Daphnia pulex: one gene and its partners. The protein of the gene in region 6 purifies or fractionates together with the protein of the main gene of each other region. This does not show direct contact. Links are inferred from orthologs where the notes say so. Each region holds a gene or a part of one and is shown on either strand. Other genes may lie near its edges. The genes, in order: splicing factor 3A subunit 3-like, U5 small nuclear ribonucleoprotein 200 kDa helicase-like, splicing factor 3B subunit 3-like, small nuclear ribonucleoprotein Sm D1-like, 116 kDa U5 small nuclear ribonucleoprotein component-like, RNA-binding protein cabeza-like and zinc finger CCCH domain-containing protein 18-like.

Region 1 (4,030 bases), on a different chromosome or scaffold from region 6:
GCCATTTCGATATTTCAAATACAGATGTTATCAATTAAAGACAAATTCAATTATAAGCAAGTGATTAAAGCTTGGGGTGCCTTTTCAATATCGTGATTGCTCAGAGGTTTTAAATATTTGTTATAAGATGACTGTTTAAAATTCGAATATGATTAAGATTACATACCTATAGTAAGGTGGTATATACTTTAAGTGTGTTAAAATGCAAGTATACTAAAAGTAGCTGATCGATGAGGATATCGACGGAAATCAGTGACACATAAGCATTAATCCATATTCTTTTTCTCGACATGTCGATGAGCTGGGAATTGAGACGAATGACGAAAAACTCCATCTGAGCAAAGTTTTGTGATGGGAAGATGATTCAGTAATACAAGTTGACAACAAAGTGATAAATCGAAACATAGATTAAGATTACCAATATTACAGTGACACTCGACAACAACCAAGGAGCTTGCGCTTCCTCTGTGCAAATGTGATGGAATAAAAATATAACCGCGCACGAAGTTATAAGATTTATTTTTCCAGTCATGTTTCTTTACAAGAGACCCTGTCGACGCAAATCTTCGTACGTTTTCTTGGGGATGACGTTGCCCATCGAGTCCTCGTACTCTTCCTCGTGATCGGCGACGAAACGTTCTGACGTTTTCTGGCTTCTCAATTTTGTCCAAACTGAAGTTTCAATTAGAATTTTATTATTAATCGGTAGGGGACAGGAAAAACAAAAATAAACTGAAAGCTTACGTGAAATTGCATCTTCGATTCGTGTTACGTTAGCAAAGTGGGCCGTGTTGGGAATACCCAGACACCGCATGCCGTGAGCGTGACGCCATTCGGCAAAATGACGTTGAAACGCCTTTGGACCTTTGTACGTGTAATTGCCGCAAATCTCGCAATTGTAGCTGATGTTCAAGCCGTGCAATTTGTAAAGCCAATATGGAATGGGCTGGATAAGAGATGAATCGATAAGATTAGAACAAAGTTACACAATTATTAATGTTGGTTCATTTATACCTTTCCATCCCAACCTAGTGGTAAATTCTTGGGATTGTAAGGGACGTCATCGTCTTCATCTTCATCCTCGGGGACCTGAAAATGGCAGTTGAGAATTTAAAGTTTAAGGAAATATGTCAAAGTAATTAAGTTATACCTCGACAACGTCTTCTTCTTCCTCCTCTCGTTCCCCATCTGTTCGGGCCTGTTTACGTTCCACGTTCTCTTTGGTAGCATGCCGTGGTTCAGACAAGATCTCAATCAGTCTATGAATTATTCACAATTAATTATTCATTCAATTTCATTCAATAATTTAAATGGAATTACTTATAAACTTGAGCCTCCAGAAGGGCAATCTTCTTTTGTTTTTCGGCTTCCTTATCTTGTTCGGTAGCACCTCGATTTTTACCCTGGCCTTTGGCGAAGAGAGATTTGTCAATTTCATCTACCGACAGACCTTTTGTACTGAAGAGTCTTTTGGCACGGTCTTCGAGTGTTCCACCGCACTTGAGACCCAAAGCTATCAATGCTGATTTCAAACGATCCAGTCCTAGAGATGCCAATTCCTCACAAGATGAAAAGGCTGAAATATCCAACGCCGCACCTGCGTTTGCCAAAGCACTTCCGGTTGTTTCTTTCTATAAATTTGCCAGCGTTAGTTAGGTTGGACAGAAAATAGAAACAGTCGTAAATAGACTTACCGGCCATCCAGGAAATGTACCCGCTACAAAGTCCTTTTCGAAATCTTGTTCGATTTCATGAAACAAGTTGTCAAGGTCCATGACTGGTTTTACTCGAGCAACATAATCGACTAAATAATCCACCAATGCTTGTAGATAGTTTCTGTATTCAGCGTTCTTCTTCTCCCGGGGAATATCAAAGAGACGGTCAAACATATTAAGGTAGCTAATGTAGTCAATTTTCTGTAAGAAATATAACTGTGTTAATTTTTTTCGATTTGTTTCTTGTTTCAATCTATAAACTGACCTGAATTCCTTTTAAATTTGTGTATTTCACATAGCTTTCATGAAGATCCAAATATTTGCCATAGCCCTCCTCATCGGTAAAGTCAACCAAATCTGAAAATCAAATTACATTAGCTTTATATGACTGTGCTTTCTGTCAGATATAACCTACTATTTGTTTCGTCAGCTCCACTCTCTCTCTGTTTGGCAAACTCATCAAATTCCATGGACATTGGTACAGCAATCTGTGAAACAAAACCAACTGCTATTGAATGACACTTAAAGAAAATGAATGTGTTTTATACCTCATTTGGATGTTTTTTGTAAAATTCCTTGATCTGTTTTAGTCTGTTGTAAAATTCCACAAATTCATTTGGTCCAGAGAGCAGTGCCACCTCCTCTTTGCGCTGTCCGTCCTTGTCTTCATAGATCTCTTTCAAAACTCTTGTACTCTCCATATACCTCTACAGTTATCAAAATACGACATTAAGAGTTGTTTGTTCAATTGTATGAGCCAAAGTTTACATACGTCAAGCAAAATTTTCTGACGGTGTTCCGAGTTGATTATCTCCCTTTGAGTGGTCTTTTTGAAGATTGTTTCCTTGACCATGGAGTCGATGATACGCTCTTTTTCTTCATGATATCTCCTCTGCTGCTCTAGCAAAGTCTCCATTGGTTTTAATGAATTGAATTGTATGATAAAATAAAAAAATTTAAACAAGCCGGCAATAAACGAGCAAAAATCACAATGCTTGGGCTTGGAAAACAAACTGGTGGCCGTTGTAAGAACTAAAGTATTCTATCGATTTTTTGCAAAAACTATTTTCACTTTTTTAATTATAATGTTTTTAATTATTAAAATGGTACAATTCGTTAAAATAAAAGAATATATTGTCTAAATTTAAATTTGATGATTTGTTACTCATTTCATGTTTACAAGACTGTAAAGTGTAAACCCCTTAAAATTAAATTTTGATTCATTTACCTTCTCAATATACACAGCTTAATAAATTTTCTAGCTTAATTAAAAATTTTAATTTATTCCTAATCATTAAAAACCAATTTCATTCATTGCATTCCAAGAAAATGTGAGCATTTTTTTGCTGTCAGGACTCAGGACGGTAATGTTTCCTAGTGTCGCCAGAGGGATGGAGCGAAGTCTTTGAAAATCGAAATAAAAAGAAAAAAGAAAAAAAAGCTGAGCTAAGCTATTGGTAGCCATATTGCAGAAGAGCGAAGAGGGGAGGTATACTGAGGGCCAACAACGGTCGAGAGCCGCCGCCGATTCAGTGCGTTATAAGTGGCTGTCACCCGAGAGAGTGGTTTTCACGTATACGCAACAGTACTTATTTCTGTTTTATTCTTTTACATTTAATCTGATTAACATTTTTTAGTGTATATCCACACATCCAAACCGAAAAGAACTTGATGTTTGTTTATCAGGTGGCCGTCGTTCAAACAATAGGCGTGGTGTGTGTGTGTGTTTCTTGAGTTGTGTTTGGTGTGTTCGCCATTGGGAATCGTGAAAAATCGAAAAACGATTCGGCCTCTTGACTCGAGTGTTTGCCCTAAGCATTCCCCCCTCCCTTATTTTCATCCTTTCCCTATCAATGACACTCAAGGCTCATGTTGAAATACAGGTGTCTGAATGAATGCTCATCTCTCTGGGTTTGGAAATAATGTACGGGCCAGCCATGACATCACCATTCCTTCCTTGTATTCTTTCCATTCAACCGTAATTTATTTTTTCTCCTCTTGACATTTCAAAAGGAATGTCTTGGTTTTCGATCAACCCTGATGCATTCGCTAAACTGTGACGGCACCCTGCCAAATGGACAGGATGTGTTGGGAAGTCACTCTGGCCTTTCGACAACTCACATATACATATAGAATCCCATCACTCTAGCTATGTGCCCACATGCTGACCATCTGTGTACTTTAGATTTTGTTGACCATATGCTATTGAATCTCTTCTACACCACCAGCAACAACCCCAGTCTGTCTGTCTGACATTAATTTCTTCCTGTTGTTTTCTTTCTTTCCAGGTTCTCCGTGCGTATTGTTCGCGCGAG
Region 2 (4,115 bases), on a different chromosome or scaffold from region 6:
AACTCGCTGTGGTTGGTGATGAGGATACCTTCACCTTTGGTATCGTACTGCGGTCGACCAGCACGACCCAACATTTGCAAGACATCGAGAGATCCAAGTTCGCACCATCGACCTTTCTCCGGATTGTAGACTTGCGTTCCTTTGATGATGACAGTATGGGCTGGCAAATTGACACCCTAATATTGGTAAAAAAATCGTTAAAATTTGACCTTTTCTAAAACGCTCTGATTAGTTATTATATTTACCCAGGCCAAAGTAGCTGTGGAAACGAGCAACTGGATGTGACGATCAGCAAACAAATCTTCGACCAAAGCACGGTCCACACGGCTCATACCAGCGTGATGGATGGCAAAACCATAGGGAAGTAGGTCCTTCAGCTCCTGATTCTTAACTTGTTCGGCTTCATTGCGCAAAACTTCCGTAGAAGCGGAACCCTCACGTAGAAAGGCTCCCAGAGAGTCTTTCTCCAAACAAAGATCGCGGATGGAACGTGCTGTTTTGCCGGTTTCTTTCCTCGAATGAACGAAGACGAGAATTTGATTCTTGCCGGCGTGCTCCATTACCTTCTCGTATACAATTTCGTTCATAATCTGATAACGCTTAACAGCTTTCTTCTCCGTGATTCCAACGTACTGCTGTTCCAAGGGTACAGGGCGGTAGCTGTTGTCGAAGAAGAATAGACCCGTCTTGGGTCGGACACGCAAGAAAGTGGCCACATCTTCGTAATTGGGAAGCGTGGCAGAAAGACCCACCAATCGCAAATCTTCTTGAGTGGATTCGACGGTGCGGATAGTACGAGCTACCAAGGCTTCCAAAACTGGACCACGGTCGTCGTGCAACAAGTGAATTTCGTCAAAGATCATCAACTTGACCAGTTGCGTGTAGGTTCGGTCTCCTGATTTGCGAGTGATAATGTCCCACTTTTCGGGCGTGCAGACAATCACCTGAGTTTGTGCAATTTCTTCACGGCTGAGTTGATGGTCGCCCGTCAATTCGGCAACTTTCAGGTTGAAAGGCGCCAGTCTTTTGCCAAAACTGCCCACCATCTCTTGTACGAGCGAACGCATGGGTGCAACGTAGATGATTTTGAATTCATCAACGCGAATTGTTCCGTCCGGATTGATGTACTTGCCCAATTCTCTCATCATTGTCAACAAAGCCACGTTGGTTTTGCCGGCGCCGGTTGGGGCGCAAATTAACATGTTCTCATCCGATTCGAGAGCTGTTTTATAGATTTTAGACTGGATTCTGTTGAGCGTTTTGAATCCTTCGAAAGCTGGTTGGGCGTAGGTTGGAAGTTTATCGATAGGAATAAGCATTTCATCAGCATCAAAAGGCCTAGGTTTCAATGGTGGCACATGAACTTCTTCGTAGCCTTTACGCTGTTTTCGGAAAGAACCTGCAATACAAGTCCATGTTTAAATTTTGATTGAAATTAAAAGATGAGAAACTAAATTATTATACCTTCTGGAAGTGTACACTTTTTGTTGGCCATGAAGTGAGAGCCCTGAGCGAATGCAAGATCCTCCAAGTCCAGTAGCTCTCGAAGACCTGGAATGCCACTGTACCCTTCCTGTCCTCCACCTCCGACTTCTTTGGAGGCAGAAGTACCTTGACGTGAACTCTTTTTAAAATCGACTTCCATCGGTTCGATTCCAGTGTCGTCCCTCACAGTATCTAATTGTCGAAGGATCTTGTTCAGATGGGGATTGCTCTTCATCTCGTCTTGAATGCTTCGACGTTCAGCTTCGCTCTGTGCGGATGCCAGTAACGAACAGTAAAGAATCATGTGTCTGTTTTGTTTAAGCAGCTTGATGAAGTCAAAGCAGTCAAAACCAAGCAAGACAACTAGCTGATTTTCACATTCTCTTTCATCCTGGATATTCTTGAGGATGTTGAGGACTTCACCGGCTCTGGCTTGAGACACCATGGGGTCACTGTAAAACTTTGACAGCTTCCTCTGAAGCCAATAGGCATCAATATCGAGGGGATGCAATTTCTTCTCTTTTTTACCGCCCAAATCGACGCCACTTGCGACAGCATCAGCATGAATGGCATGGTCTGTTTCAGCTTCATCAGCTTCATCCTCACCGTCATCTTCTTCTCCAATCTCTCCATACACATTTTCTTCTTCGTTTTCTTCGTCTGTGTCTTCAAATTGCACATTGATGCCATACTGGTCGTCCATTTGCTCTTCTCCAGTACCCATTTTCTCGTCTTGGCCCCAATCTGTGATCTTCTTACCCAGGTTAACGAGCAGGGCAAATCTTTCTTCTGGCAAGGAGCCAAGCATAGCCTCTGTTTCCTTTTTCTTCTCCTTATCCTTGAGCTTGTCGTTCTTGAGAACCGTGAGGACTTCATCAGCAGCACCACACAACACATCTCTGGGTTGATCACTCAACGCTTCCTGAATAAAACTGAGAAGCACTTCGTAAGTCTGTTTGGTGTCCTGCGTTTTGGGCCTGTAGATGATGCCAGAGATTTCATCCAGGTTGTCGCTTTGCAAAGGTCCTTTTCCACCATTTTTACCACCAATATCAGTTTTGTTGGGATCACGCTTCTGACGTTTTGCCGGTTTCATCCGTTGGGCTTTGTCACCCATGCGAGTTCCTTCCAACTTCCCAGTAAGGGACATAACCTCACCGGTGGCTTCATCTCGTGCTCGGCGATCGATTAAACGAACGTCAGCTTGTAAAACCAAATTAGAATTGGCTTTATACTCGTACTGGAGCGAACGTGCTGCGGCGTCCGCCATTTCTTACGGCTTGCTTTTAGACACTGACGAAAGTTTCGTATGCTGTTCGAACAGGCAATTGACAGCGTTGCCAGTTTGTAATAAAACAAAATTCAGAATTCGAGAGGAAATTTGTATATTGAAAAATTTAAAAATCTCGCCATAAAACTCTGGGTCGACACGCGCGAAAAAAGGGATAAAAAAAATACAGAAAAAAAGCAATTAAGAAACTAAAACACCATTTTTGTAAGGAGAAAAAACCAAACATTTTTCAAAAGTCCATCGGTCTTGAGAATGAAATGAGAAAAAAACACAGAAACAAAACCCCCCACTATGCGAACTACAAAGGAGATGGAAAAACAAAATCAGGTCTAAATAGGGTAAATCTATAAACGTTAAAATTCACGCAGCGTTATTGCAAAAATAACTCTAAATCGACGAAATAAAGAAACATTGGTAGAGAAAAAAGCCATCTAACGCTGTACAAAGCTTTTTTGAGAGTAACGCAGATATGAGGTGGGACATAGGGATGAAAACAATATTTTTTCAATGATGTTGTACGAGAGGTAATAACGACACCAGTCAGAGAAATCGTCACTGAGCTACGGCAGCCTGGTCAGTGGCAAGATACAAAACAACACTGCATCTTCACAACGAAAATTATGCACACACAACAACACGCTCCGGCATGAATTTGTCATAACAAATACGAAAGCCAATAATAATTAAAAAAATAAAAAATAAAGTCAAAACGTTTTTTTGTCTTTTGTCAAAAAGTTGCCCGCAAGTAAAAATGGTTTCAAACAATATCAACCGCCCAGCGCGCCAAGTGTCATAGATCTTTTGAGATCCGTCATCCGCACAAAAACTTGGCTCCTATTCCGCAATACATCCAGCACCAGACATCAAAATTTAAAAAAAAATTTCCTGTCGACAACAATAAAAAGAAAAATAGCCATGAAACAACAAAACACAATCAGACAAAGAAAAAGGAGGGGAGACGTTTGTTCCATGTCAAAATCAAGCGGAAAACGGATTAAATTTCTACAGTCGGAAATCCGAGCGGTTGTTTTTCTTTTTCTCGGAAAGGATTAAATAGTATATATATACGTACACATTGGGGTGTGGTATAGTCATTTGTTTCACTCGCCGAAGCGAGTGCAAGCCTTTTTCCATTTGCATTGAGTGCACCACTGCTCGCGGTGTTCCATTCCGTAAACCTTGCGGCACTTTTTGGCCTCGCCGCGGGGCCGACGAACGGGACTGCTCTTGACTGTAAAGACCGAAGCTCCGGTAGTAGATGGTGGCGCTAGTGGGGGCGCCGGTGAAGGAGACGTTTTGGGCGACACAACCACTTTGGCCTGTTTGAGCGCATTCTAGA
Region 3 (3,954 bases), on a different chromosome or scaffold from region 6:
TCAAATTCTTCGTTTTTTCTAGTTTCGTTTTTTTTCAAACCTCTAAACTTGTTCTTAATAGGAAACATCAAAAGTCAAGAGTTGATTTCCGACTGCAAGCCGTTCCACATTCCATCACTGGCGACAGAGGACGAGTTAATCGGTAAAGTTCGGGAACTCGATTGTTTCAGTCAATATGAATTGAATGACTCGAAATGAATTCAACGGTACATTATGAATTGAAAAAAAAAGATAAGTGCTTCAACACCCTTATTCGTTATTCCTTACCGCACCGCAAATAAAAATTTTTGAATAAGAAATTTTAAAAGATAGACAAGTTCGGGATGCTGAGTTGCACAACCGCAAAATTAGGATCGTGCGCCAACGAGTTTTTGTAACGTTGTGGGGATAGTAGAAAGCGGGTTTTTTATTATTTAAGCATAGAATTACTTATCTAATCTTAGAAATGTTCAGGATTATCGTTGTTTAGAACATTCTGCTTTTTATAGAGTAATTTTAAATGTATAATTCAGCTTAGTTTACCCATTAAAATTAAAGAAAGTCCAAGCCTGGGATGCTGTTTAGTCTTTTCTTGTGTTTTTTGACAGATCTGCTGACAAGTGACAAGCTCAAACACACAAGAAAAGACTAAACAGCATCCCAGGCTTGGACTTTCTTTAATTTGAATGGGTAAACTAAGCTGAATTATACATTTAAAATTACTCTATAAAAAGCAGAATGTTCTAAACAACGATAATCCTGAACATTTCTAAGATTAGATAAGTAATTCTATGCTTAAATAATAAAAAACCCGCTTTCTACTATCCCCACAACGTTACAAAAACTCGTTGGCGCACGATCCTAATTTTGCGGTTGTGCAACTCAGCATCCCGAACTTGTCTATTCAAAGCGTGGCTGCATGGTGGTTCTAGAGAGAAACTCGCGCGCATAGCAAGGGATCGGAATATGAACACGTCTTTTGAATTACTTTATGAGTAATAAAAACAGCTGTGAATAAATCATTCTTGATTATCACCACTGAAATTTTTTATTAATTTCACAATTTTATTGTATAATGCATTATGAAATCGTTCTATAAATAATAATAATAATTTAAAAAATCTTGTGATAAAGAAAGCGCAAATGCATTGAAAATGCTGTGTTTAGGGATAGACCAAGTAGAGAGTCGATGTCAGATGTTCAAAAATATTGCCTATCACACAATGCACGAGAAGTCGAACCCTAAACTCGAGCGCGACGCCGGAGCCAAGAGAGATTTCACTCAACCTTTGCTGAATTTTCCATCATGGAAAATCTGTAACATCCACAGGTAAATTCAAGTTTGACTACACATTTTAGTTCCAGATAGTTGAAAAGCAGTTATTTTGATGGTTAAATGTGTGTTTTTGGCGATGTTTAAAATATTGAAGCATGTCAATTTGAAAACCTTGCCGGGTGAGATGCCGGGGCTGTAGTTTCTTTCGCGTACTCGTCTAGCTATTAAAGAAAAGAAAACCCCTTACAACTTTACCGCCTTTCTGTGAATTAAGTTTGGTGGCTATACATGAGGGGGACATTAATTTTCAAATGGTGTGTAACATTGTCATTAAACATGTTGGACAAATGTAAGAATTATATCTGATAACATTTTCGCAGGTGATGCTCATCTAGGCAGTTCAAGTTACACATTGGACACGTCAACTTGAAAGAAAATGTATCTTTACAATCTGACTCTGCAGCGTGCCACTGGCATCATTCAGGCAGTCCAGGGCAACTTCAGTGGCACCAAGCAACAGGAGATTGTCATTGCTCGTGGAAAGGTACTCGAAATTGTGAAGCCGGATCCCAACACTGGCAAAGTACACACACTTCTCAGTCAAGAGGTTTTTGGAATCATCAGGTCAATCATTAGTTTCAGGCTTACTGGAGGAAATAAGGGTGAGTTGTGCAAATATAATTTTTAAAACATACATCCTGCTAACTTTCATTAATTCTGTATTTAGATTACCTTGTGGTCGGATCAGACTCTGGGCGAATTGTCATTCTTGAATACAATGCTGCCAAAAATGTGTTTGATAAGGTGCACCAAGAAACGTACGGCAAAAGCGGTTGTCGTCGGATTGTTCCTGGACAGTACATGGCAATTGATCCCAAAGGCAGAGCTGTTATGATCAGTAAGTTTTGATCCGTTTTTAATTTAAATTCTTGCAAGTGATGAGTTACGTTTTTATGTCTTCTTTCCCCATCTGAGAAAGATAATGCTGATATCTAACGTTTTTACTGAGAATTTTTTAAAATCGAAATCTTGTGGCTTGAGAGTGCGCATTGCTTTAACATTTATGTTTTTTTTTTGCATTGCAGGTGCTATTGAGAAGCAAAAACTGGTCTACATTCTGAACAGGGATGCCCAAGCCCATTTAACCATTTCTTCTCCGCTGGAGGCTCACAAGTCAAACACTCTAGTTTACAACATAGTGGGTGTTGACGTGGGATTTGAAAACCCTGTATTTGCTTGTTTGGAGATGGATTATGAAGAGGCCGATGGTGATCCAACAGGCGAGGCGGCACAGAAGACGCAACAAACGCTTACATTCTACGAACTCGATCTGGGTTTAAACCACGTCGTTAGGAAATATAGGTGCGTAACAAATCTTGGTGATTTTGGTTTTGCCTGGTTGGGTTTCAAAACCCCTTAACTTTACTGCTCTCTTGTCACTTAAAGATTGCAGCTATACATAAGGGGGACATTATCTATCATAGTGTGTAACATTGTTGACTTATGTGTGACAATGTAAGAAATATTTTGATGAACATATCTTTACTTTAATAGTGAGCCGTTGGATGAGCACGCCAATTTCCTCATCACTGTTCCTGGAGGAAACGACGGACCTTCCGGAGTTCTGGTTTGCTCCGAGAACTACATCACATATAAGAATTTGGGTGAACAGCATGACATTCGTTGCCCAATCCCCAGAAGAAGGGTACGTTTGATCATTTCATTATGTTATTTGGCGCGCGGTATCTCCAGCCGTGTTCTATACACGTGCTGGTCGACTAGTGCCTAAACTATACTTGGAGATGTTTGCATCGTTGGATTGTAATGCGCATATTGCATGCTGTCCTGGAACGAACCTCCGATAAGTTATTTATTCCATGTATTGAGGACGGTAGTAATAAGTTTTTTCTCTGTAGAATGACTTGGATGATCCGGAAAGGGGCATGATTTTCGTCTGCTCGGCTTCCCATCGCACCAAGGCCATGTTTTTCTTCCTTGTCCAAACGGAGCAGGGCGATATTTTCAAGATCACCATGGATATGGATGAAGAGGTGGTGAGAGAATTGAAAATCAAGTACTTTGATACCGTTCCAGTTTCGTCCAGCATGTGTGTGTTGAAGACAGGCTTTCTATTCGTCGCATCGGAATTTGGAAATCAGTTAGTTTTCTTAAATTTTTTTTTCTATTTGCTGAAATGATGTGTATTGTCATCCGTGTTTCACCTGAGATAACACTTTGATTATAATTTTTGACTCTGATTTCGGTTACAAAATTTGAAGTAGTTTTATGGGTTTTCAAGTGTATTAATTTTCCTTGTGTTATTAGTTATCTTTACCAGATTGCTCATTTGGGGGATGATGACGATGAACCCGAATTCAGCTCTACTATACCATTGGAGGAAGGAGATACTTTCTTCTTTGCTCCGAGACCTTTGAAGAATCTTGTTCTCGTGGACGAGATGGAGTCTTTATCTCCAGTTCTGGCCTGCCATATTGCTGATCTCGGTAGGTTTGATAATTCCTCCTGTTTTGAAAGGTTTTTAACATTTGTTTTCAATTTACAGCCAATGAGGATACACCCCAGTTGTATGCACTTTGTGGTAGAAGTTCTCGTTCGTCTCTTCGTGTTCTCCGTCATGGATTGGAAGTATCGGAGATGGCTGTTTCTGAACTTCCCGGTAACCCCAATGCAGTGTGGAC
Region 4 (2,714 bases), about 2.9 Mb from region 6:
TAGAAAATTAGGAGCAGATATCGCCGAAAGCCTCTTAAACGCAAATACCTCTTAAACTGAAGTTACAAAAGCAAATAAAACTTGTAGCCACGACTGTTCTTAAACATGTCAAGTTTTCCTTAAATTTGCGACATTCTTAATTTAAATTAAAGTTTAATGGTTTAGTCACAAAAAATTGAATAGTTTTAGTCTAAATTTAATAGAAAAGTAATTTAACTTTCATTTCCATCAAACTTTCATTACTTATTACACCGCTCTTTACACTTGTTTTTTCCCCGACTCCTCTGACAAAATGGCAAGAATAGTCAATATTCTTGAAATAAGCAAGGAAACGTTATGCGATGTCCGCTTATAAATCAAGAAAAGGAATTGACGGTTCTCTACAAATTATCTATGCTTACATGGGAGTCAATTGGAATTGATAAATAATTCTCATACAGACTCAACTGTGGGGAAAAAAGTGTTTGTTTTAAGGACTTTTCAACTGACCAAAAAACATATAAGACAATGACAATTTGTAATGCAAATGAAAACTGATTCCACATTTGCTGAAAAGAACGAAAAAAAAAATGGAAAATCGTTGGAAATTACAAATTTCAGCGTCGAGGACCAGTAGCACCACGTCCACGTCCTCGTCCACGTCCTCCTCTGACAGCTCCGCGTCCACGGCCTCTTCCACGAGCTAAAAAAAGAAAAGAAAATGAAAAGAGGAACACAGTGATAAGGGGAAAAAAGTTTACCTCTACCGCTAGCATCCTTCTTCTTGGCCTTGGCTTTCGGAGAATCATCCAATAGTAAGGTTTCAAGAGGAAGTGAATCAGGTAAAATGTAGTACCGGATGTTGTTTCCTCTAATACTCAAAGTTTCAAGCTGAACAGGGTCTCTGTTTTTAACTGTCATTTTCACAGCTTTTAAATGAGTGTTCATAGCAACATCAACTCCTATAAAACATAATCAAATGAATGAATTTAGTAATATACAAAACGGAAAACTTTTCTTCTAAAATGTCACTTATGTGTTTGCAATTTCACTAAGTTTTCGAAGAAAGTATTTAAGGATTGCAGTAAAATAAAAAATCGAATAAAGACAACAAAATTGAATTACCTGTTATTGTTCCATGAACCTGAGTACCATTTTTTAATTCAATAATGACTGTTTCGTGGCTCAGTTTCATCAAAAACCTAAGGATTATACAAAATAATGGTATTTATTTCAATTGAAAGCAGTGAACTATTTAAGTTGTGAAATATAGAAACGGCATAGTTTCCCAGACGCATCCAACAACCGGCTTAATACCCAGACCAAACCGATTTTTGTGGCTACTTTCTGTACGAATTTACTTGACAATGAACATATTCCGAAACTTACCTCACTAATTTCATTTTTGATAAACTTGTTGTTTGATGGCTGTAATAAAGTAAATCACCATATACGACTTATTGAATGTTTTAATCCTTAGTTTAGTGAAACGCACGAGGTACGCTAGTCAAAAACCAAAACTGCTTGTTGGAAGCATAACTTATACTAAAAAGGCCCTGTGACATTTCATATTTCATAACGGTCGATGACTATGATTTTTGTACTTGTAACGTAGCGCCATCTACGCAAATATTTTGAATTTTGTTATTAGACAAGGTTTATTTTTGCATATTTTAATCAAAAATTAACTAATAATAATTTTTTTTTATTATTTTAAATTTATTTATCAAAATAAATTCATAAATCCAGAAGCATTATCGAAGCGTATCATAGAACCGCATAGAACACAAGTGGCATGACATGAGTGACAATAAAACGTACTCCAAAACAGAAAACACATGAGACAGGCCTGCATACTATAACAGCATTTCCAGTAAGCTAAACATTGGGTTTCGGTTTCACCTATTTTCGATTTTTTAAAAATAATTCTTTGTCGGTAACGCATTCTCAATTTCCCGCGTGGTTTTAATTTTTCCCTCTCAAAATGTCTCGAATCGGACCAACATTACCTCCTCATCTTCAAACAGCGTATGAAAATGATGATTCAGATTCTGATGAAGGTGATCTCTACGGACCAGCACTTCCCGCTCATTTAAAATCACAGAAAGTGTCCAGCAAGTTAGTGCAATCAAATATCTCCAATGACAGAGGATGCTCTGTTAATCATGAAGTTGACTCTTCATCAGATGATGAAGTTATTGGACCACTGCCAGCTGATTGTATGGATGCTGAACATAGTTCATCAGTTGACATTGAACAGCGGGCTCTTAAGATGAAGAGGAAGTTGCTTGGTGTGGATGATGATGAAGCCAACAAGCAACCAAAAAGAGAAGATTGGATGATTGAGCTTCCAGAACTGAAAAGGAAAAACTTTGGCCTGGGACCTCGTGTCTTTAATCGTTCTGACAAACCTGAGGTTGTAGGGAGAGATCAATGGACTTCAACACCAACTTCCAAGGTTCAGATAGTACAATAGATACACATATAATGAAATTTTCTTAGCTGGTCATTGCTAATTTCTATAATTTAATTAATATAATTTTAGCAGCCTAGTACATCCAAAGAAAAAGATGAGGATTTTGAAGCTGAAATGAGGAAACAATACTTGGAACAAAAAAGGAATAAGAAGCTTGAGAAAATTGTGGCCATGCATGATAAATCCAAGAAGAGGTCAGAGAGTTTGTTGAAGACACATCAAAAGGAAATGAAAAGCAAGGTAATCCTACATTTTTATT
Region 5 (3,949 bases), on a different chromosome or scaffold from region 6:
GACAGACTACACCGCCGTGGCAATGCACACCGGACAGTATAGTGACCCCCCCGCAGACACAAAAAAGATGATGGATAGAAATTTAAAAAGAGAAAAACAAAACAAACCAAAAAAAAAAAAAATCTCAGTCAGAGTCTGTCGGGCTATTGATTGGACACCCCCACGGAAAATTCACGCACGAGGAATAAGGAGGAGGAAGTCGATTGCTGCTGTTGGCCAAGTCTAAATGTGTGCAGCGACATTCAACCGGGTACATTCTATCCGCCTACACAATGGATGACATTGCTGCAAACAACAAAAACAGAACAAGCAACTCGAAGCATCGCCGATAACGGTGATTATATCCCGAATAAAAAAAAAAAAAAGAACCATCAACCGAGAACCCATGGACAGAAGGAGAACTCTAGTTGGGCTGGGCTGGGCTGGTCTACATCACCGAATGGCCGGCATTGATTTTGTCGATCTGCCCATATCATCCCAAGTATTTTTTGGGTTTTTTTTTTGTGATTTCCTTTTGGCAACAACAAACCAACAAGCGAATATATAAATCGGGGTCGCTCGTCTGTAGACTCGTCTGCAGATAAAGACGTCTAATATATCTTTCCATACGAGTCGGCAGCAATAAATCATATAAGGGCACTTGCCCATCCAGGGGGCTTCCATCGCCCGGCAAAACTGAAATTCTGCACTGTGTGCGTAGACATCAGACGACTGCTGAGATTTATTCCGTTATTCAATTCAAAAACATGACGGCATTTTACTCCTTATTTCGCCCGCTTTGATTGATATTATCGCCCGTGTTCGACTGACTTTGTTTCTCCTACAAAATGTTTTTTTCCGTCGTGGACCCGACCTGATAGCGACTGACACGTCATCTATATAAATTCACAACTAGATTTCAGTTTCCAGTGCACAAGCAAAAAAACAGCGCCAGAAACATTTCCTTATTCGGGTAGGGAAAACCCCGCCCTCAACGGGATTCCCATTTGCATTTTATTACGCTGTGAATTTTTTTTTTCTCTTTTATTTTATTTTTATTTATTTATTTTTATTTTTATTTATTTTATTCATTTTATTTTATTTTCATTTTTTTTGCCACTCATAATCCACCTGCTAGCTGGTAGATGGCGCTGTTCTTAAATTCAGATTTCATTGGCACCCGCTAGATGTCGCTAGTGTCGCTCGTTTTGAGCGCGTGCAAATCTGTACGCATAGTAAACGCATTTTCTTGAAAGGCCCGGCTTTTCTGAAATTCCCTTTTGAAACAGCTTTATAACTGTGAGTGTTGGGTTAAGCCGAATACCGATCGACAACATCCAAAGTATCTGCCCAATTTACAGACAGCAAACGACTCAGTTGACTGTCAAGAATGGACGCCGATCTCTACGACGAATTCGGCAATTACATTGGACCCGAACTCGAGTCAGATGAAGACGAAAATGAGGAAGGAGACGAGGCTGATCACGATGACGAAGCCGAAGACTATGGTGACAATGATTCCGAAGAGGCCATGGATCAAACGGTGGTTGATGGCGACGCACAGATGGCCATTGTTTTGCATGAAGACAAAAAATACTATCCATCAGCGTTGGAGGTTTACGGACCTGGTGTGGAGACACTGGTGCAGGAAGAAGATGCTCAGCCCTTGACTGAACCCATCATCGCACCTGTCAAACGAAGGAAGTTTCAGGTACCACAAATTGTTTCGCTGCCATATTTCATTTTGTTGATTAACCTGTTTCCACCCATTTTCATTAGGTTGCTGAGCAAGAACTCCCTGAAACCACGTATAACATGGAGTTTTTGGCTGATCTCATGGACTCTGCAGAACTTATTCGTTCAGTGGCCCTTGTTGGTCATTTGCACCATGGCAAGACTTCCTTCATGGATTGTCTGCTCATGCAAACACACCCAGATCTCCAGACGGGAAAACCTGGCAGTGGAGAGGAGAAGCCTGTCAGATACACAGACACACTCTTTACTGAACAAGAGAGAGGTGTTTCCATCAAAGCGACGCCCATTACCGTGGTCATGCCCGACCTGAACGAAAAATCCTTCCTCCTCAACATGTTCGACACACCTGGTAAATTACAGTTTTCCAACTTGCAAAATGGGGGGGAAAAATGTATTTAATCGATTTTGATGTTTCTTAAAGGTCACGTCAACTTCTCAGATGAAGTCACGGCTGCCCTGAGACTTTGCGATGGTATCGTCCTCTTTGTCGACGCTGTCGAGGGTGTCATGCTCAACACGGAACGAATCTTGAAGCACGCCGTCCAGGTAATTAAAAAAAAAAAAAAACTTCAACTTGGTTATTCCAAGAATTTCTTTTTAACCCTGTCCTTTCATAGGAGAAAATGGCCATCACAGTTTGCATCAACAAAATCGATCGACTCATTTTGGAGCTCAAGCTGCCACCTCAGGACGCATATTACAAGTTGCGCTACATCATTGAAGAGATCAACGGTCTTTTGGGCCTGTACAGCGACGAAGAGAATCCAAAATTCGTGTCGCCCTTGTTGGGCAACGTCTGCTTTGCTTCTGCCCAGTTCTCCGTTTGCTTCACCCTTAAATCCTTCGCCAAACTTTACAGTGACACGTACGCACACGTCCACAATGGCAATGACGGTCTTAAATGAAACTTCATTTTCTTTCATTTTAGATACGGATCCGATATCAACGACAACGAGTTAGCACGTCGTCTGTGGGGTGACATTTACTTCAACAGCAAGACGAGAAAGTTCACCAAAAAGCCGCCACATAGCTCGGCTCAGCGAAGTTTCATCGAGTTCATTTTAGAGCCGTTGTACAAAATCTTTGCCCAGGCATGTACCAAGGACAACTTTGCAGTTAATTTGAACAGTTGATTCATTTCCAATATTTTTTGCTTGTTTAGGTTGTGGGAGATTTGGATTCGAGTCTACCGCAGTTGCTGGACGAACTTGGCATTCGCCTGACTGTCGAGGAACAGCGGTTAAACACTCGCCCCTTGTTGAGACTGGTCTGCAGTCGCTACCTGGGCACTTTCAGCGGTATGTCAATTAAAATGTATGTTGAATTGAAGCAACGGTCTTTAAATGTCAATGTTTGACTGGTGTGTGTAGGTTTCGTGGAAATGTGCGTCAAACACGTCCCGTCGCCCGTAACGGCTGCTCGCACCAAAGTGGAACACATTTACACAGGTCCCCTGGAGTCCATCCTGGGCGAAGACATGGTCAACTGTGATCCCAACGGCCAACTGGTTGTCCATACTACCAAACAGTATCCCACAGAGGACTGCACTGGATTCTATGTCCTGGGTCGTGTCCTGAGTGGGACCCTTCACGCTCACCAGAACGTCCGACTCCTGGGTGAAAACTATTCGCTCAATGACGAAGAAGATTCACGTGTGTTGACGATCGGTCGACTTTGGATATACGAGGCCCGTTACAAGATCGAAGTCAATAGAGTAACGGCAGGCAGTTGGGTCTTGATCGAAGGGATCGATGCCTCAGTGGTCAAGACGTCGACCATCGTCCAGGTTCACGTCGACGAGGACTTGTACATTTGCCGACCCTTGAAATTCAACACGCAATCCATCATCAAAATTGCCGTTGAGCCGGTGAATCCCAGCGAATTGCCCAAGATGTTGGACGGTCTGCGTAAGGTTAACAAATCTTACCCGTTGCTCTCGACGCGAGTGGAGGAGTCGGGCGAGCACGTTATTCTTGGAACAGGCGAACTTTACCTGGACTGTGTCATGCACGATCTCAGGAAAATGTACTCGGAAATCGACATTAAAGGTTTGCCATTCATTTCTTCCCAACTGTTAATTCTTCTAATTTAACTAATTCACTTTGGTTTTTCTTGTAGTTGCTGATCCTGTGGTGTCTTTTTGCGAAACGGTCGTGGAAACGTCCTCACTGAAATGTTTTGCCGAAACTCCAAACAAAAAGAATAAAATCACAAT
Region 6 (3,967 bases):
CCACGGAAGCCTCCAGGGAAGTTGTTTTTCCTCGTAGCCATAGAGACTTTCAGCACTGGTCCGTTATTAAATGGCTGGCCTGTAATACAAATTTAAAAAATGGCTAAGAAAGAAAACACATCATAATAATACAAGTTACGAACCATGGAACCACTGGATTGCAGCATTAGCGGCGCTAGGATCGTCGTAGGTGATTGTTGCTTCTCCTTTGGGAGCGCCAGTGTCACGATCTTTGAACAACCAGATTTTAGGTTTGCCAGTTTTCTTGTCAATCTATCGAGACAAAAGAATAAAAATTATCAAAATGAAAAATGTTGATTTGGATGTTTTAATAAATACTTTTATAACACCAATCGAACCAAAAAAGGTTTCGATCTCGGTCTCGGTCACACTTTCAGGAAGACCCGAAACAAACACGCTGTCGTCCATAACAATACGGTCATCAGCAACGGCTCCTGGTGCAGCTCCACCTTGTCAACGAAACATACATTAAAGATTAAATGCAGGTACTCACAATTGAAATAAACGGCGGCAGGAAGCAAGTCCCACAGTTGGGTTAGGATGTGCTAAATACTATAGTCGGACCGTTCACCAAACTTTCCATGAGTAAATTTAACCTTTAGCCGATTTCTCTCCCCACTTTTTCACTTCCTTTGTTCTTACCCTTTACAGGACCAGTTTCAATTGACCTGTTCACGTTACAGATACACCCATAGGTTTTCTGGACTCATTTCTTTAAACCACTCACACACCATTTTTGTTGGGGATTCTTTACACACAACCATTTGGAATTTTTTAAAGAAAAAACCACCAATTTCTGGTGGAAATAAGTTTTTTTACCCAACACACCACTTAAAGACTAGAACCACACGTTCGGCCTCTTTCGGGGTTTAAATTCATGGAAAGTGGCTGACAATTGACTGAAATACCGTAGCATACAAAGGTAACATTCTCCAGGTATATCACTGTACACGCAGAAAGTCTGAAACTCTTTTATCAAAGAGTACAGAAATTCTGTACCGTAGATTCGTAAATATGCACAAGGAGATTTGATAAGAATAAAGATGGAGATAGAGTATTTTGCTTGATACTTGCACCAACAGGAATGCCATTTGGATGTCGAAGATTTTTCACCACCACAACGGCAAGATTGTGACAAACCGTACCAGAAGTAGACACAGTAAGAAAGGCATCGTTAGATGAACCTTTGAATTACCTTTGGGAAACCCGTCTCTGCTTCCAGCGTTATGACTGCAATAGCCAGAAAGATACATTTTGCTATACCCTGTCTTTGACACCAAATTGGCTAAGATGCATTTGCCATCTTGCTTTCAAATTATTATGGAACACAATATGATATAACTTATGCAAATAATACTATTCAAAAAATTCGAAATTTACTACAAATAAGAATAATTAAAAAAAAAACATGAAGTAAAACAAATCAAACAATAACAAATTACCAAAACACCATGTTCAGATTATGCAATATGAAAAAAATTACTACTTTCTTTTAAATAACCAATGTTGGGTGCACTTGGCACAGTATAACCGTTGTAAACTGTTACATGTGATGGTCACATACCAAACTCCGCGTATTTAAAAATGGATAAATTTCTTTACCATCAATCCGAAACGACCACATTAAGATATTCATGTTTTTTACTTGAATCACAACACTGTTTTTTGCTCCACCGAAGTGAAAACCGTGAGTACCCGTTTGTTAAACCCGAATGACTTTGAGCATACTAAGTTTTTACGTAATACCAAAACATTGTTTTAAAGATACCATTGGACCCAAACTTTCGTATTCTTGAACGCAATTTGAAATTTCCCTTTTACTGGTTGTAACCTTTAATCAAACTGTACACTTAATTTTTCTACACTATCTTAACAGCTATTTGAATAACAAAACTCACCTGAATCCTCCCCCTCCTCCACTTCGATCACCTCTATCGCCGCCGTAACCACCTCCGCCGCCACCACCACCTGATATGATAACATAAAGTTAAATTTGCTAAATAAAATAGGCTAGGACAAAGTATGATTACCGCCATAAGCTGCTGATCCACCATATGATCCTGCATTGTCATAACTTGATCCACCACCACCACCGCCTCCATAAGCTGTCTGTTCGCCATAGGCACTATAACCAGCACTGCTGCTTCCTGTAGTAAAATTGTATGTGTTGATCAAAATGTTAGAAATGACGAAATGTTAGAAGTTAACAAACCTGACGGATATGCAGTGGATGGTGCACCACCAGCACCACCTTGTTGAGTGCTGTAGCCGCCAACTGGGCCATCACCGCCAGAATACCCAGAGTATGGTGCTGCGCTTTGACCTTGGTTTCCCCATCCACCGCTTACAGGGGCACCAGAAGGAGGACCTCCATAGGCAGGTGCAGCCTGATCGTAACTGCTGTAGCCACCATAGGCACCACCACCACCACCTCCTCCAGAATATCCATATTCTGTAAATATGAAATAAGATTACTATGAGTCCTTTTTATAGATGGGATATTGATTCCCAGACAAGCTTGGGCCACAACATGGTAAAGACAGGGTTATAAATTGACGTACGTGTAACTCTAAACAAACAGTTTTCGGACTGCCAATAACATCATCATTTCGCTAAATTTATTGTCGAATCAATTTAGATGTCAACTTAACAATTAAAAAATGAAACTTACGATTGTCTCCCATGGTTTTGTTACAATAACGTCAGAACGAGATGACTATAGAAAATGCCGACTCTCCCTGTTCCGGTTAAGCTTGGGTAATGGGCGCTACAGAGCTGCCTAATCGTGGAAATAGTAAAGATTCAAATATTAAAAAAAAATTATTTTTATTTTAGTTTACTTGTTTATAATATGCTTGAAATATTCCTGAATTAAGTTCAAACATTAAATATGCAATAATCTGGTCTTTATCTGCGCTAATTCAATGACTTTTTAGCAGCTTTTCAGTTAAAGCTAAAGTGTTAATTGAAACTATTGGCAACTCCTTTGACATTCTCCATTTTTCAAACTTGAGCAGACTTAAATTTGTTTTTGATCGTTTTGTTTGTTTTGCTTTCTTTTTTATTTCATGAATCTTTTATCGGAAAGTGTCAGTCCCTTACTGACAAAAGAAAAACTAGAATTACTGAAATCCCATAAAATTTTAACTACTCTTGATTTTGTGCAGTACAACAATGACAAAATGGCTAAATTGATTGTTCAAAATGTCAGTGAAATTATCAAAATCAAAGATAAAATCTTAGCTTCCAACAACAGCAAACCCATGAGAGGAGACAAACTGTATGACATGATGTTGAAGAGAACAGTTGTTATTCATAGTGGAATTGAGATGTAAGAAGTTTTCTAAATAATTGTATGCAATTGTCTATACATAATAATTCCCCCAAATTTTGTTCTATAAGATAGTGTTGATCGAATGTTCCATGGAGGAATTCCAAGTGGGAGACTGGTAGAAGTTTATGGAGATTCTGGTTCTGGAAAGACTCAATTAGCCTTACACTTGACAGCAAATACTGCTCTAAAGTTACAGTATGAAGTCTGTTACATCACTACTGGTGATGCAAATCCTAAGCGAATCCTAGATATCATGCAAAATTTAGACAAAGTTTGCAGCACAAATTGTGGTTATTTTGTTGAGTTTGGCAAATGACAGAGGTTTCTTTCTTTAGGATGGTGATTATGTGAAGAGTTTAGAAAGGATTACATTCTGCCACATACATGATGTCTATCAACTGTTGGAACTGCTGTGGACTCCAGAAATGAAAAGATACAAACTTGTCATCATTGACAGTCTAGCCACTTTATTCTTACCCATACGTGGGGACGCATTTAACGACTGTATGTACATAAAAATGACTTATCATCAGTTAATTAAACCCTCGAGTGCCGAAAACATATAAGGCATGGACACCTTTGAGACTTAATCCAACTTTATGTTTTGTTTTT
Region 7 (4,169 bases), about 750 kb from region 6:
ATTCATTTGAGAGATAAGAAGACCTTTTACGATCCAATAAGAATCCCAGTAATAGGATTCTCTGAATCTTCCACCGGGAACAATAAATGGATTCGGAACATATACAATGGAGTATAAATCAGGATTATCACGAACGTCGTCTAGAATTACAACACAGAGCCCATAGTCCAAGCAGTGAAAGAGAGAACACCAGCAAAGAATAGAAATTTAAAATATGATTCTCTTATCTGGCGGAAAGAAAACTGGACTGCAATTTAAGGAAATCAATAAAACCATAATGTTTCTTTTTAGACCATCACCTTTTATCTGTCGCCCGAGAGATTTCCATCCTTCATGAAGACGATTCCCCCAATTGCGGAACTCTGAATTATTAATTTGAGATAGAAATGGAGGATCACTGATCCAGTCCGATGGATCCCAATTCTGGAATTCCAATCCTTCAGCTTCAAAATTGCTGTCAACAAATGCCTGTAATTCTTCTTTGGTTGGCTGGTTTTCAGTGTCGGTCATGAACTGTGAGAAACTAGTTAAGACTATTTCTGGATTAAAACGCAATTTTTTATCCACAAAAGTTTTGGAATCTTTGTATAACTCCGCGTTTTGGACAGCATGCAGCAGGGGTCCATAGCAATAAATTTCGCTAAAATTAAAACGTAATTCTGGTAATTAAGCAATTTCATTGTTAGATTACAGAAATTTTCTTGCCTGGGGCAGGGTGGTGGCAGTTGAAAAGTTGAAGTTGAAAAGGTCCAAGCAATTATTGCTAAAACGGTAATTAATCGAGACATTCAATAATATGAATTTTAAATGTTTTGCTTAAAAAAGAATGTAAAATGTTTGAGAGAGGTTAAGCATGGAGCTAAACATGCAATGGGCCAATGACTAAACGAAAACGAATCAAGTGACTAAACGAAAATTATGTTTCGTAATCAAAAGGCTACGATAGATCAAAAACTTATCAGTCTTGTTTTTGTCAATATTTTCAGGTCAGATAACTCTACGATTGATTGAACATTGGAAGTTTTGAACCCGTCCACCGAAACTTAAAAAATAAATGATAACTCATGTTGACGAAAGCAGAAAACTCTTTCGTTGAGTATTGACTCAACTTAAATGGCTAATGATAAAAGCGCAAATCCGCTATCCGCATGATTTCAAACCTTTCTTTTGTGCGCGCACAATTGTTTCAGCGTTGCCAAAAATAAAAAAATTTAGTACCTTATTATTTTCCAGTTTCAACTCTTTGAGTGAACCAAATCTAAAAAAAATAGTTAAAAAAATTTAAATACTTTCAAATAGTTTGCGTCTGACTATAGAATAGATGATAAATGTATTGAAATGTTCAAAATTTAATTGGCATCATATATTATAAACAGCCGACAAAAAACGGGGCTGTCATGGCGGCTTAGTTGCAAGCCAGGTTGTTTGGATTTTTGGTAGTTTTTCCCAGTTTGTTGGCTAAAGTTAGTAATTGATGGTTACCACTGTTGTTTAACGTATATTAGTAAAAGAATGAGTCAAAGCGGTTTAAGTGCTCCAGCAAGCCCGGATCCTGACTTGTCTGGAACCAGTTCAAGCATAATCGAAGGACAGTTGTATACGAATTCGCGTCCGGAAAGCCGAAGCAGCATTAGCAGCAACTCCATGGTTGATCAGGACCAAGCCGCTGAATCCAGTCGTCTGAGTTCAAACGTAGATGAAATTGATAGAAAATCTGATAGTGGAGAAGTGATTGGGCTTGATGAAAATGCCCAATCAGGTGGCTTGCTGGATGAACATAAACAAGAGTTAATGGCTTCAGATTCAAGCAAAGAAGATGAGGATAGTCTTGAAATGGTATCAGATGATGAAATGGAAGCTAACGAAAACTGCAAAGATTCATCTAGTAAAAAATCTCCTCAAATTTTGGATCCATTGATTAAAGACACTGAATTAGACTTTGAAGAAGATAATCTTGAAGAAGAGCCCAAAAAGCCGATTGAAGACAGAAAGCCTGAAAAAGATGACGAAGATGGAGAATGTGATGGAGAGAAGCCACAGAGAGAAAAGGAAGCAAGTGAAGAAGAACTAGAGGAAGGTGAAGAGTTGGAAGAAGGTGAAGTTAGCAGCGAAGAAGATGTTGGCAAACATGCACGCATGGAACCTAGGCCTGTTTGTAGATTTTACAGTAAAGGCAATTGTACTTGGGGTAATAATTGCAGGTAAGAACTAGTATTTTTCTTTTTTTGAAAGAAAAAGTATTGATATTGTTTTACAGATTTGTTCATCCTGGAGTATTAGACAAGGGAAATTACAATATGTTTGCTCCTGCACGTCCATCTGCCCATAACGGGCCTTCAGCACCCTACGAAAGACCTTTTGATCGACCACCGGTGGTTCCACTCATCCCGCCAGCAGAGTGGGCAAATTCTCAGCCAAGGGTCGCTAATCCTCGACCTCCACGACATCCACAGGTACACGGTTACTTACTTTCAGCTAAGTCAATTTTCGTTATTTGAGAAACTTCATTTCTGAATTGTAGCCGGCCGAGCCACCTCGGACTGATGCAACCGGTGCTGAATCACCTTGGGAAAGAGGACTGAGACAAGCCAAAGAGGTATGAGACAATGCCGTGATTATTTAAGTTTATTGCTATGGGTTCATAATAAACGTTTTCTTTACAGATGCTCAAAAAGTCCAGTCATCGTAAAGAAACTGACATTGACTTCGAAGAAAAAAAACTAAATTTAGGTTTAGGTGAGGAAGAATTGGACAAAGAGAATGACTACTACACTCGACCTGCTAGTCCAGTTTTACATGGAGACGTCCCTCCTCCGTAAGTTAAATCGCACTGCATTAAAATCTGTTTAAGAGTTAAATAGGATCTGTTAATTTTTTTACTCCTCTAGATTTGAAGAGCCAGATACAGAACCATACCATAAATTTTTACCTCCATCAGCTGAAGGGCGATGGCCTCCGTCACGCTACCCGCCTCCTCACCGCCACCCCCCACCTGGTTACCCTTATCCGTACGAAGGCCGGCGACCTTACCCACCAGAATCAGAGTATAGAGAAAGGGAATACTATCATCCGGAAGGATATGAGCGTCCGCACTACTACGGTCCAAAACCAAGTGAACGAGATATCCATCCATCTGCCAGTAAATCCCAACCTCAACTTCCTCCCCCTCACGAAAAAAGATGGTCTGATGAGAGGTCAGTTTTAATTGATGCAATGTGACTGCGTCTGTAGAACCAAAACAAAATCCTTTATTGAACCTTTTAAATTGTTCAATATAGATACGTGGAAGTTGTGCCTCCAGCTCAGCGTGGACGTAGTGATGAATGGTGGGATCCGTGGATGAGATCAAGATCTCCTGGTGGTGCTGGAGGCGGAGGTGCTGCTGGTGGTGGTCCATCTTCAAGTGCAGTCGTTGGCGCCGGAGGAAATTCGGCTGGAGCTAAAGGTTCTAGACGACGTAGCTATTCGTCTGGGTCATCTTTTTCAACATCGTCGTCGACATCGAGCTCAAGTTCGAGTTCATACTCGAGCTCAAGCAGTCGTTCCAGTCGTTCCAGTGCTAGCTCACGTTCCACTTCAAAATCTAAATCAATGAATGTAAAACGACGGCAAGGACGGAAGGCAAAAGTCGGAGACCAGCGGGTTAAAGGGAACCATAAGACCGTCTCTTCACTTCCTGTTGCCAAACATAAAACATCTTCATCCGCTCCCATCCCGTTATCGCCCCCGCACCCCCAATCCTCACGGAAGCCCACAGATAAGCAGCGGAACATCCATGAGAGGTCACCTCAAGTTCGAAATAGGTAAATAAATAGCTTACATTGCTAGGCATATGTCAGTTCAATGTGACGTTTTGCATATTGTCGTGGTACACATAGGGACTGGTCAAGTTCTTCGTCCCGTTCACGTTCCAGATCTCTTTCCAAGATGCGCCCTGCGACTAAGAACAATAGCTCTGCCCCTCCCACGAAAGCCCATGGAGGACGAGCTCGTGCCTCCTCCGGTTCGTCCAGTTCTAGTGAATGGGAGTCATCTCCACATTCAAATGACATCGGACGACCCCGTCGACCATCGAACCGTGGCCGACGAGACTTTGCCGAACGTAAAGAGCTACGAGGTGTAAACCCTCCACCAGCGTCATCTCATCCATCAACTAAAGGAAAAGCTGT

The links.
Region 1: the proteins of RNA-binding protein cabeza-like (region 6) and splicing factor 3A subunit 3-like purify together in Homo sapiens (affinity purification with mass spectrometry; 3 studies listed by BioGRID and IntAct, with this or other methods). This does not show direct contact. The link is inferred for Daphnia pulex from reciprocal best matches to the Homo sapiens genes FUS and SF3A3.
Region 2: the proteins of RNA-binding protein cabeza-like (region 6) and U5 small nuclear ribonucleoprotein 200 kDa helicase-like purify together in Homo sapiens (affinity purification with mass spectrometry; 3 studies listed by BioGRID and IntAct, with this or other methods). This does not show direct contact. The link is inferred for Daphnia pulex from reciprocal best matches to the Homo sapiens genes FUS and SNRNP200.
Region 3: the proteins of RNA-binding protein cabeza-like (region 6) and splicing factor 3B subunit 3-like purify together in Homo sapiens (affinity purification with mass spectrometry; 3 studies listed by BioGRID and IntAct, with this or other methods). This does not show direct contact. The link is inferred for Daphnia pulex from reciprocal best matches to the Homo sapiens genes FUS and SF3B3.
Region 4: the proteins of RNA-binding protein cabeza-like (region 6) and small nuclear ribonucleoprotein Sm D1-like purify together in Homo sapiens (affinity purification with mass spectrometry; 3 studies listed by BioGRID and IntAct, with this or other methods). This does not show direct contact. The link is inferred for Daphnia pulex from reciprocal best matches to the Homo sapiens genes FUS and SNRPD1.
Region 5: the proteins of RNA-binding protein cabeza-like (region 6) and 116 kDa U5 small nuclear ribonucleoprotein component-like purify together in Homo sapiens (affinity purification with mass spectrometry; 3 studies listed by BioGRID and IntAct, with this or other methods). This does not show direct contact. The link is inferred for Daphnia pulex from reciprocal best matches to the Homo sapiens genes FUS and EFTUD2.
Region 7: the proteins of RNA-binding protein cabeza-like (region 6) and zinc finger CCCH domain-containing protein 18-like purify together in Homo sapiens (affinity purification with mass spectrometry; 3 studies listed by BioGRID and IntAct, with this or other methods). This does not show direct contact. The link is inferred for Daphnia pulex from reciprocal best matches to the Homo sapiens genes FUS and ZC3H18.

What each region holds. Positions count from the first base shown.
Region 1 is NC_060028.1:1,228,033-1,232,062, reverse strand, and holds splicing factor 3A subunit 3-like, read right to left. Parts: upstream 2,745-4,030; 5' UTR 2,632-2,744; coding exon 2,488-2,631; intron 2,423-2,487; coding exon 2,264-2,422; intron 2,204-2,263; coding exon 2,131-2,203; intron 2,073-2,130; coding exon 1,981-2,072; intron 1,917-1,980; coding exon 1,695-1,916; intron 1,632-1,694; coding exon 1,321-1,631; intron 1,260-1,320; coding exon 1,151-1,259; intron 1,090-1,150; coding exon 1,015-1,089; intron 947-1,014; coding exon 745-946; intron 673-744; coding exon 539-672; 3' UTR 501-538; downstream 1-500. Other genes in the region: moesin/ezrin/radixin homolog 1-like, read left to right, coding at 3,387-3,428, 4,004-4,030. UniProt on the Homo sapiens protein: Component of the 17S U2 SnRNP complex of the spliceosome, a large ribonucleoprotein complex that removes introns from transcribed pre-mRNAs.
Region 2 is NC_060022.1:2,646,595-2,650,709, forward strand, and holds the start of U5 small nuclear ribonucleoprotein 200 kDa helicase-like, read right to left. Parts: upstream 2,801-4,115; 5' UTR 2,756-2,800; coding exon 1,465-2,755; intron 1,458-1,464; exon of another isoform or gene 1,452-1,457; intron 1,400-1,451; coding exon 246-1,399; intron 177-245; coding exon 1-176. Other genes in the region: zinc finger protein 704-like, read right to left, coding at 3,877-4,110. UniProt on the Homo sapiens protein: Catalyzes the ATP-dependent unwinding of U4/U6 RNA duplices, an essential step in the assembly of a catalytically active spliceosome. Plays a role in pre-mRNA splicing as a core component of precatalytic, catalytic and postcatalytic spliceosomal complexes.
Region 3 is NC_060019.1:9,348,735-9,352,688, forward strand, and holds the start of splicing factor 3B subunit 3-like, read left to right. Parts: upstream 1-1,154; 5' UTR 1,155-1,309; intron 1,310-1,635; 5' UTR 1,636-1,691; coding exon 1,692-1,917; intron 1,918-1,982; coding exon 1,983-2,153; intron 2,154-2,340; coding exon 2,341-2,617; intron 2,618-2,809; coding exon 2,810-2,960; intron 2,961-3,171; coding exon 3,172-3,413; intron 3,414-3,580; coding exon 3,581-3,759; intron 3,760-3,818; coding exon 3,819-3,954. UniProt on the Homo sapiens protein: Component of the 17S U2 SnRNP complex of the spliceosome, a large ribonucleoprotein complex that removes introns from transcribed pre-mRNAs.
Region 4 is NC_060020.1:8,496,612-8,499,325, forward strand, and holds small nuclear ribonucleoprotein Sm D1-like, read right to left. Parts: upstream 1,532-2,714; 5' UTR 1,383-1,531; coding exon 1,369-1,382; intron 1,182-1,368; coding exon 1,105-1,181; intron 942-1,104; coding exon 741-941; intron 683-740; coding exon 597-682; 3' UTR 501-596; downstream 1-500. Other genes in the region: GPALPP motifs-containing protein 1-like, read left to right, coding at 1,964-2,437, 2,525-2,695. UniProt on the Homo sapiens protein: Plays a role in pre-mRNA splicing as a core component of the spliceosomal U1, U2, U4 and U5 small nuclear ribonucleoproteins (snRNPs), the building blocks of the spliceosome.
Region 5 is NC_060028.1:8,367,832-8,371,780, forward strand, and holds the start of 116 kDa U5 small nuclear ribonucleoprotein component-like, read left to right. Parts: upstream 1-1,149; 5' UTR 1,150-1,369; coding exon 1,370-1,690; intron 1,691-1,758; coding exon 1,759-2,083; intron 2,084-2,155; coding exon 2,156-2,280; intron 2,281-2,351; coding exon 2,352-2,599; intron 2,600-2,662; coding exon 2,663-2,825; intron 2,826-2,896; coding exon 2,897-3,032; intron 3,033-3,104; coding exon 3,105-3,782; intron 3,783-3,852; coding exon 3,853-3,949. UniProt on the Homo sapiens protein: Required for pre-mRNA splicing as component of the spliceosome, including pre-catalytic, catalytic and post-catalytic spliceosomal complexes. Component of the U5 snRNP and the U4/U6-U5 tri-snRNP complex, a building block of the spliceosome.
Region 6 is NC_060020.1:5,621,666-5,625,632, reverse strand, and holds the start of RNA-binding protein cabeza-like, read right to left. Parts: upstream 2,801-3,967; 5' UTR 2,706-2,800; coding exon 2,693-2,705; intron 2,474-2,692; coding exon 2,234-2,473; intron 2,169-2,233; coding exon 2,052-2,168; intron 1,990-2,051; coding exon 1,920-1,989; intron 1,252-1,919; coding exon 1,217-1,251; intron 471-1,216; coding exon 340-470; intron 274-339; coding exon 144-273; intron 80-143; coding exon 1-79. Other genes in the region: DNA repair protein RAD51 homolog 4-like, read left to right, coding at 3,090-3,352, 3,428-3,626, 3,691-3,859. UniProt on the Homo sapiens protein: DNA/RNA-binding protein that plays a role in various cellular processes such as transcription regulation, RNA splicing, RNA transport, DNA repair and damage response. Binds to ssRNA containing the consensus sequence 5'-AGGUAA-3'.
Region 7 is NC_060020.1:4,875,959-4,880,127, forward strand, and holds the start of zinc finger CCCH domain-containing protein 18-like, read left to right. Parts: upstream 1-1,369; 5' UTR 1,370-1,512; coding exon 1,513-2,201; intron 2,202-2,257; coding exon 2,258-2,453; intron 2,454-2,521; coding exon 2,522-2,596; intron 2,597-2,663; coding exon 2,664-2,815; intron 2,816-2,888; coding exon 2,889-3,194; intron 3,195-3,278; coding exon 3,279-3,803; intron 3,804-3,878; coding exon 3,879-4,169. Other genes in the region: trehalase-like, read right to left, coding at 1-140, 300-640, 706-788.